2 linked regions of the Cricetulus griseus genome follow. The main gene of each other region encodes a partner of the protein of the gene in region 2 in a complex. Links are inferred from orthologs where the notes say so. Each region holds a gene or a part of one and is shown on either strand. Other genes may lie near its edges.

The links.
Region 1: the proteins of Naa35 (region 2) and Naa30 are in contact, whole or in part, in a cryo-EM structure (PDB 7MX2), measured with the Homo sapiens proteins. The link is inferred for Cricetulus griseus from reciprocal best matches to the Homo sapiens genes NAA35 and NAA30. Residues at the interface, in NP_001308810.1 of Homo sapiens: Leu45, Gly46, Leu48, Leu56, Ala59, Met60, Ala62, Glu64, Lys69, Glu121, Phe313, Pro314, Arg315, Ala444, Leu510, Glu511, Leu512, Glu517, Pro605, Lys606, Phe607, Glu608, Leu609, Asp610, Val614, Arg615, His618, Arg619; in NP_001011713.2 of Homo sapiens: Glu221, Pro238, Ser240, Tyr242, Thr243, Arg245, Tyr246, His249, Asn250, Lys304, Ile324, Glu334, Asn335, Leu336, Gly337, Val339, Arg340, Asp341, Lys342, Arg343, Phe345, Arg346, Tyr347, Tyr348, Leu349, Leu359, Trp360, Leu361, Arg362.

Annotation. Positions count from the first base shown.
Region 1 is NW_023276807.1:205,214,797-205,219,566, reverse strand, and holds the start of Naa30 (N-alpha-acetyltransferase 30), read right to left. Parts: upstream 3,304-4,770; 5' UTR 3,165-3,303; coding exon 2,310-3,164; intron 1-2,309. UniProt on the Homo sapiens protein: Catalytic subunit of the N-terminal acetyltransferase C (NatC) complex. Catalyzes acetylation of the N-terminal methionine residues of peptides beginning with Met-Leu-Ala and Met-Leu-Gly.
Region 2 is NC_048596.1:278,703,723-278,707,807, reverse strand, and holds part of Naa35 (N-alpha-acetyltransferase 35, NatC auxiliary subunit), read right to left. Parts: intron 3,616-4,085; coding exon 3,532-3,615; intron 2,916-3,531; coding exon 2,801-2,915; intron 1-2,800. UniProt on the Homo sapiens protein: Auxillary component of the N-terminal acetyltransferase C (NatC) complex which catalyzes acetylation of N-terminal methionine residues. N-terminal acetylation protects proteins from ubiquitination and degradation by the N-end rule pathway.

The sequences.
Region 1 (4,770 bases), on a different chromosome or scaffold from region 2:
TACAAATATTAGGATGAATTTTAAGAAAACTTGTTTTTATGAGTCAACCAAGTACAGGCAATTTTTCAACCTCATATACTCCATTTGGTCTACTACATGTCATCCCTGGAACCCTGGGTCACTTTAGAGGTTCTAATCCCGTGAGACTGATGCTTATAATGACAACCACCCCTTGTCGAAGACAACTAACTATGTGCCACAATAAAATAGGTCAAGGGTATGTCACAGTTCCTCATCTTATTTGCCATCATCAGAGGCTAGGAGACCAGAGAGGTGAAGACCGCTCTGCTGCAAAACAGCTTTAGAGATTTAAAGACACATCACCATGGGTTTCATTCCCATTAAAGAAAAAAAAAAAAGTAGCTCTAGATCATCTCTAGGGTTGTCCTTTCAAACACAATCCAAAAGACATTTATAAAAATTAGTTCTAATGGGAAGTTCAATTTGAAAAGCATATAAAAGACCTAGTTGTAGACTGCCTCTGTTGTGTAACTAGTTTTATTGTTCATATCTCCAAACTCATATTCCATACAAGAAACCTTAAAGGCCAGCTACTTGTACAACTTCTAGATATTCATAACTTAATGTTAAACTTTAGTTAGTAAAGGCTGAAGTACAAATTAACTGGTCAATTAAGAGGGGTGTACATAAAAGACTTAAGTTTACCATAGTGTAAAATGCCAAAAAAAACTGAGGTCTAGAGAAAACATGACTCAACCAACTACCACTGAACCACATCCCTAGTTCCATTCAGTTTAAAATGTGACTCCATTATACACTTTTGTGGATTAATTTACAATTAATACACAATTTTGAGGAGTTGTATTTAATGGCATTTATAATAGCAAATACTGTCCCCCACATTCACTGACACTAACATGTCTTAGAACTTGTTTTTGATTTGTGAGATGGGGTCTCTCTACACAGCCGGGGCTGTCCTGGAATGTGCTATGTAGATCAGGCTGGCCTTGAACTCAGAGATCCTCCTGCCTCTGCCTCCCAAAAGTTCTGGGATTTAAGGCATGTGCCACCACGTCCAGCAGAACTATTTTAATACAATGCTAAGAATTCTAAAGAAAAAAACAAACAACAACAAAAATACGTTTTATGGAATACGAAATACTTTAGAAACAGTATCTAAAGTTCAAACAAATGTTCTAAAATAAAGTTTAAGCATAATGAACACAAAAGCTAGCAAAACTACCAAAATGTACAATATCCAGTGGTATTTCTGGATTACCACCACACTGTGGAAGCAACCACGAGACTTGACATTTCAAAACATACCGCAAGGAATACTGAGTGAAACTAAGTCAGTGTTAAAACAGTAATAATAGTGGGAGCTTTACTCTCTTCAAAGTGTGCTGCCTTTAGTAAACTTCAGAGAAAACAATGTGCTGCGCTCATGGCAAACAGCTTACAACTGAAGTCTAACATCATCTCAGTCAAAGGTTTCATACCCGCAGAAAGTGGGTCAATGTTACTTGTGGGTAGATTACTAGTGCTGAGAATGTAAACTTAAAATAGTTATTCATCTTATCCAATAGACAAATCTGTTCTGCTTACACATAGGTCTATCAGTTATACGTCATGCAAACCAATGGTACCAGTTTTTAGACTGTTTTTGAGTAGTTTCACAATTAAGTTTCCTGCATCCCACAAAAGGGCCTTCTGTTCAAGTTTCCAGGGGCCTTTCAGCCAGCGGAAGTGTTAGTGACACCTTCTTCAATAGCACACCTGAAAGCCAGCTGACTACAAGTATTGACGCACTGAAGGAAACAATGTCAATCAATGAGCATGGCTCTGAGATTTCATTCTCCAACGTGACCACAGCAAGTTTACCGACAACCATGTTCACCAAAACGTGTTCACCGCATGTATTCTTCTCTGATTATGGCTGTTAACAGAGTTATTACTAAGGCCTGTATGTGAACAGAACCATCACTACAAAATGCTCCGCGGAAGATGGAGGGTAATTAATGAAGGTTAAAAATGATTAGAAGCTAATGTAAATAGGATGTAAGACCCCCCCACCCCCACCCCAGGTGAAACACACCTAGTGCAGGCTTGCTGCTGTTACGAGAGTAGCAAGTTAACCCAGATCATGAGTTCTTACCTTCCACACAGTTCCATTTAATAACTAGGAACGTGCGCGCACTTGCGCGCGCGCGCACTTCAGCGCTTCACATCTGTAAGGTACTGTGAAAATGAAGGATACAACCACTGCCACACACGGGGCCCTCACACTCCCTGCCCTGAGTGGCCTGGATCTCTGCTGGGTTCACCCTGTTTTCATGCCATCCACTTACCAAGAAACACAGCTGTGGCCAGTTGTGGATAAAATATCTATACGTATAAATGGAGTAGGGTTCTGACAGATCTTTGGTGATCAGTCTCATGATATCAGGCATTTGGAGCTCGGATTCATAGCGGACGTATCGTATCGTCCGATCCTCCCCGGGCTCGGCCTCCCGGCCCAGGGAGCTCCTTAGACTGCAGCCGGCGGTCAGAGACGAAGACAGCAGCCGCACCTGCTCGTCCTCCTCCTCATCCGGCTCGTTGCCCTCCGCCAGTCCGTTGCGAGCCGCCGCGGGGTCGCTGGCTGCCGCCGCCGCGCCGCCCGCCGCCGCCGTCTCTGGCCGGTCGGGGAGCGCAGTTCTTGCATTGTTGGGGACCGAGTAGGGAGGTCTCTCCTCTGGGTGTCCCCCGGCTCCTTTTGTGGCAGTCACTTTGGGGGCCCCGTCGGGGACGGCCGCCTCCGCTGCACTCAGAACCTTACTCTTGAGGGTCGCCGCGGCCCGGAGGTGTCGCAGTTCTGGGCCGATCAATCCGTTGAGCTGCTGCTGCTGCTGCTGCTGCTGCTGCTGCTGCTGCTGCTGCTGCTGCTGCTGCTGCTGCTCCTGAGGCAGCTGCGGGCAGCGAAGGCAAGAACGCGCCTTGGTCGTGCTCCCCGCCTCGCCGCCCGCGGGGCTCCCGCAGCCGCCTTCGTGCTCCTCGTCGTCCTCCTCGTCCTCGCTGCAGCAGGCGAGTGCAGCCCCCGCCGGGAACGGGCAGCGGGGCTCGGCCGCCGCCGGGGCCGCAGGCGCTGGTGGTGGGAGGAGGCTGCTAGGCCCAGGCGGTACCTCCGCCATCCTAGAAGCGACACAGCCGAGAGAGGAGGCCATGAGAGGCGGCCGACCGGCGCCAGGCAGCGCCGACTGGCGGGCCGGGGGCGGCCGAGGCGGGGGGAACAAAGGCAGAAACCGTCCCTCACCGAGTGTCCCCAACGCCGCGCCGCCCCCACGCCGCCGTGCCGGCCACCGTCCCCGGCCGCCGAGCCCCGCCGCCGCCGCCGGCCGTGTCACCGCCCCCCACCCGCCCCTCCTCGCGGCTCACCCCGCGCCGCTCCCGCCGCCGTTGCCGCCGCTCCTCTCCCTCAGCCACCGCCGCAGCCGCCTTTGCCGCTGCCGCTCCGCCGCCGCTACCGCCGCCGCCGCCGCCGCCGCCGCCGCCGAGACTCCCACCCGCCGCCGCCGCCGCCGCCGCCGCCGCCGCCGCCGTAAAGCGCCTCGCCTGTTACCCCGGGTAAAGTTTCCTGGGCCAGGCTTTACGACACTTCCCTGCCTGCCGGCTGCCGGGCCAGAAAAAGGGGCGTGGAGGGAGGTGACCTGTGCAGGGGCGGGGCCCGCGGTGTCTCCGGGGGGCTTCCGGGAGGCAGCGCGCCGGGGGGTGTGGCTCCAGCCTGGGGTTCCTGGCCCCGGAAGTCGCCAGGGCAGCCTCCAGGGTGGGCCGGGCTGGGCCCGGCGGGGCGCTCCGAGTGCTGCGGCGCGGCGCGGCGGCGGCGGCGGGCGGCGGCGGCGCGGCGGCGGCGGCGGCGGCGGCGCGGCGAAGGCGGCGGCTTGTGGACCAGCCTGTCGCCAGCCCTTCTCCAGGGCCTTTTCGCAGCTGCACAATTGACAACTTTTGCTCCGACCTGGCGCGTGGGGCAGCGAGCAGCGGCTACAAAGGTAGCAAACCCCGGGCCTGGACGGCGAAAAAGAGGGACTTGAAAGCATTGAGCTGTGGAGACAGCGTCTTGCAATAGGAAGGAACCTCATTATCCTGTTGGGACAAGAGAACGGCTAGTCGTCTTCCAAAGTTCCTCTTGCCCTATTACTCCGTCCCGAAAATTGGAGGCGTAAACGTGGCTAACAGGTGCTGGACAAGTACAGGCACACCTGGAGTGAAAGTGACAGAGATGGTGGTGGCTAAGAAGCACATTACTAATCTGTGATTGTAATTGTGTTAGGTTGGGAAGCACCGGGAAAGAGTTCACGGGATCCTCCCATGTGACTCGCATGCTAAGCAGGTGTGGAAGACCAGAGCCTCAGCATGCATTTGAGCATGTGGCTCACCTCCGTCTGCTCTAGTCCACAGCTGGTAGTTTGCTGCATAGCTGAGCTGAAAGGCACAACGGTCGTGTAAATAACTCACTTCCATATGAATCAAGTTATTTGTTTTTTGTTTTTAAGTTGTTTGTAGGGCCTGGAGAGATGAGTTAGTGGCTAGGAACACTTGCTGCTAGGTTTAGATTCCTAGCACCTATGTGACAGGTCACAAACAGTCTGTAATTCCAGGTCCAAGGGATGCTACCTCTTCTGGCCTCCAAGGACATCAGGAATGCATATGGTGCACAGACATGCGTACATACAGGCATAACACCCATACATGTTTAAAAAACAAAATGTATTAAAATAGTTTTTTATTTATTTGAACTGGTTTATAGAGTTAGTCAAATGTGCCCAAGATTAA
Region 2 (4,085 bases):
TCCTGCCAGTGCTTCCCCCGCCTTTCACTTCTTGCTCCCCTTTGACGTTGTGTGACTGCTCCTTCACTTCACCAATCCTACTCATTGCCACCTCAACCCTCTGTGTAAAACACAGCCTGAATTTTCCCTATCACAGAAGCTTTCAAAAATGTATTTTTTATTTATGTATAGATGTGTGCCTGCATGAGTTTACGTGAGTCACGTGCAACCAGGAGCCCATGGAGGTCAAAGACATCAGATGCCCTGGAACTGAAGTTATAGACAGTTGTGAGTCACCGGTAGGTGCTGGGAATCAAATCCAGATCCTCTGCAAGAGCAGTCAGCACTCTTAACTCTGTACCATCTCTCCAAACTCCCATGTGTCCCAAAAGTTTTGTCCATTCCCCCTTCTGTACAGTACAGTGCCCTAACAGAGCACTGGGAAGAGCTCAGTGGTTTCCTGAGACTCAACAGAAAAAATCAGATAGCTCTTTGGCTCTATGAGGGCTGTTTTTCTATTTTGTTTGTTTGTTTGTTTAAGTATGTATCGGTGTTTTGTCTACATACATGCCTGTTTGTTATGTGTGTGCATTGCCCGTGGAGTCCAGAAGAGGGCGTCAGATCCCCAGGACCAGAGTTATAGACAGTTGTGAGCTGCCATGTGAGGATGCTGGGAGTTGAACCTGGTCCTGTGGAAGAGCCATGAGTGTTCTCTCCAGTCCTATGAGATGTGGTTCACGAATCCATCACATGTAGGGAGATTATACACACAAATCCCCTTCCCAAGTCACTGACTTTATCATGTTATGTGAGGAAAAAATAAAAAAGCTTTGCTCCCATTTACAATTCACTTAGGCATATCATTATCCCATATACATCTGCACTCTTTAAAAATAATTTTGCTGGATGATGGTGGTACACGCCTTTAATCCCAGCACTAAGGAAGCTGAGACAGGCAGTTCTCTTGAGTTTGAGGCTAGCCTCATCTACAAAGTAAGTTCCAGGATAACCAGGACTACACAGAGAAACCCTATTTTGAAAAAAACAAAACAAAACAAAATAACGACAACAAAAAATTTAAGCTGAGAACTGGGGGGGATATAGCTCAGCAGCAGACAGCTTGCCTGGAATGCATGAGGCTCTGAGTCCAATCCCAACAACACAAACACACCAAACTGGACATGGGTCTTGGTGACAAACACCTGTAATCCCGGCACTTGCAACGCTGTGGCAGGAGAAACTGAGAGTAACCTTTTTTTTAACATAAGTCAGAAATTATCAAGAAATGTTCTTTAGTTCTTAATACACAGACTCTTAGGCCTCATACAAGCAGGCAACTCAATGCGTAACAGTTGTTCCTGCTGCTGTGAGAAGCAATTGAGGAGATGAGAAAGGCTCACCTGGCTCACAATTACAGGTCACAGTCCATCACTGCAGGGAACTCAGGGCAGCACAAACCTGCAGCAGCTGTCATAGCCACAACTGAGAGCAGAGAGAATAAAACGCATGCAAGTTTGCTCTCTGCTCTGCTAACACAAATAAATAAAAGACTGATACTGGGGTTCAACCTGAAGATCAGGGAAGCAAAGCAGCCGGCCACTAGCTCTCACTTCAAGCTCAGGCTGAAAGGGCTGATCCATGCAAGAGCTCTTCACCAAGCCTCAAACTGCTGCCTCTCCTCAGTGTGGCTAGAGAATGAATGACTCCTATTGAATACTAAAGACCCTGCTTCTATCTTTTATACCCCTCTAGTGCTGGGACTAAAGGTGTGTGATCTGTTTCATTTTTAGAATGATTTAATCTCATGTATCCCTGGGTGGCCTTGAACTCAGAGAGATCCATCTACCTCTTAATCCTGAGTCCTAGGATTAAAGGTGTGTACCAGCACCTCCTAGCTTCTGACTTCTGAGATCAAAGGTGTGTGCCTGGCTTCTATGGCTGTGGCTGACCCTGTTTTCTAAATCCTCAGGCAAGCTTTAATAAATCATAAATAATGTGGCACCACATGGCTCCCTTCCTCCATCCTTACATGCTTCAGGACCCAGCCTAGGGAATGGTGCCACCCACAGTGGTAGTAGACACAGCCACCTCAATATAATAAAGAAAATTCCCAGACACATGCCCAAAAGCTAATCCCAACACAGAATTTCAGTAATCACAAGCAAGCTACTTTTATGTATTAAATCATTTTTTATAAACATTTCCCGAACTAGCTGAGTCTCAGAGTTGTGGATATTTTACAATTCAATAATATTAAGACTATAAATGATATTAAGACTATCTCATGGGTTTTAGGGATAATCAGTGCTGCTGTATACTCTAAAATGTTGACCCACTGGTGAATTTTACAGCAAAGATATATCACTCCCATTAAACCTTATTTCACATATAAAATATATGAAGCATCAAATGTCAAGTGTTCTATCCTAAGTGTCCAGAATCTCATGCACAATTCTAGTGCAGTGTGAAGGCAGGCACCTGTGAGTACAATGAACCTCAGGAACACTAGGCCTGCCTTGTGGAGTGAGGTAGACTTTCTCAAAGAAATAAAGAAAGGAGATGTTAAAAAACTAAGTTACTGCTGGCATCATACTACAAACAAAAGACAGGGTATATATACAGAGTCCAACAGTAACAAGATAGGGTCAAGTTTAATCAATTGTTTTCAACATAGACTAAATCTACAAAGAAGCCTAAAGCACCCTTAAGTATTCAGAGGAAATATCGCAAAAGTACAGACAGACTGACTTAAATTAAAGTCAGAGCTAACTGTATAACATGTTTTGATAAAGAAAATATAAGAGCAAACATTGAGAATTACCTCCTTTGGTAGTGCCATTCTGAGCCTGGATGCCATGATGCAATGAAGTGTGGATGGCAGACAGAAGGTCTGCTGCTTGGACCATTAGTTTCTGAGCCTCTGCAACAGCACTGGTCTAGCAAACAAATCACCGAAAACACACACGTTAACTGAAAGACAGAGAAGAGGAGGTTCTACAACAGCACTGAGATCCAGTGCACACTGCGCTAACACACAGAAGAGGAGATCCTCCAACAGCACTGAGATCCAGTGCACACTGCGCTAACACACAGAAGAGGAGATCCTACAACAGCACTGAGATCCAGCGCACACTGCGCTAACATGGATCCTCACAAAGCAGTCACTTAATGCAGGATGCCCAAATCCTGACAGGATACAAAGCATTTCCCTCAAATGTATATCTTATTTGATACATTAAAAAATGAAATGGTAAATATTTCTGATTTACAGTATAAGCTTACTTTTTAAAATAAAAGATCAGAGATATAGTCAATTGTGACAAGGCAAAAAATTCCAATACTATTCAATCATTCACAAGTATGGGGTGGGAGGAATCCAGGAAATAGAATTACCTGATACAGTATTTATCTATCTATAGGTACAACTGTAAAGCAACAATCACTTTTCACAGAAGCATTGGTATGACTGTGGTGCAACTACACCAAAGGTAGAGAACTGTGAGAACAGGGGGGCACTGATCAAAACTGACCCAATTACGGTGATTCTCTTACCTCCTTCTTAGTAAAGGCTATAAGCACTGTCAGCAGCACGCGGGTGAACTTCACTCTGCTGAATGCCGCCAGGCATTGCTGGTGCTGGAAACACAGAAGTCTGGTGAGAAGCAGAGCAACTACATTTTAACATTTGGAACTCCTATGTCTTTGTGCCAGTTACTCACTAGAGCAAACAGGCCTCTACTTGGCTTTTTACATGCTTAGGAAACAAGCCACCAAACACTAGTTAAAAAACAAAGTCTACTCCTCTGCAACAAAAGAAACTGTGCTGCACTCTTTCTTCAATTCAAAGTCAGGACTAGACCATTATCTCAAAAACAAGCAGTTAGCAGCAACTTTTGAGAGTATGGAAATTTTTGATTTTGCTAAGTTTTGAAATACATCTATAATTGATCTTTTTTTTTTTTTTTCAGTTCCTGCTTCCCAGGAATTGTGAAGAGTTTTGAAATCAGATAATGAAAAAAGTTGCATTACCACTCTATAGCTCAAACTAGAAGCTCCTTGTAATGCCCAGTTAAAGAAGTACCATGAAAGGGCTTCCACAAATCACA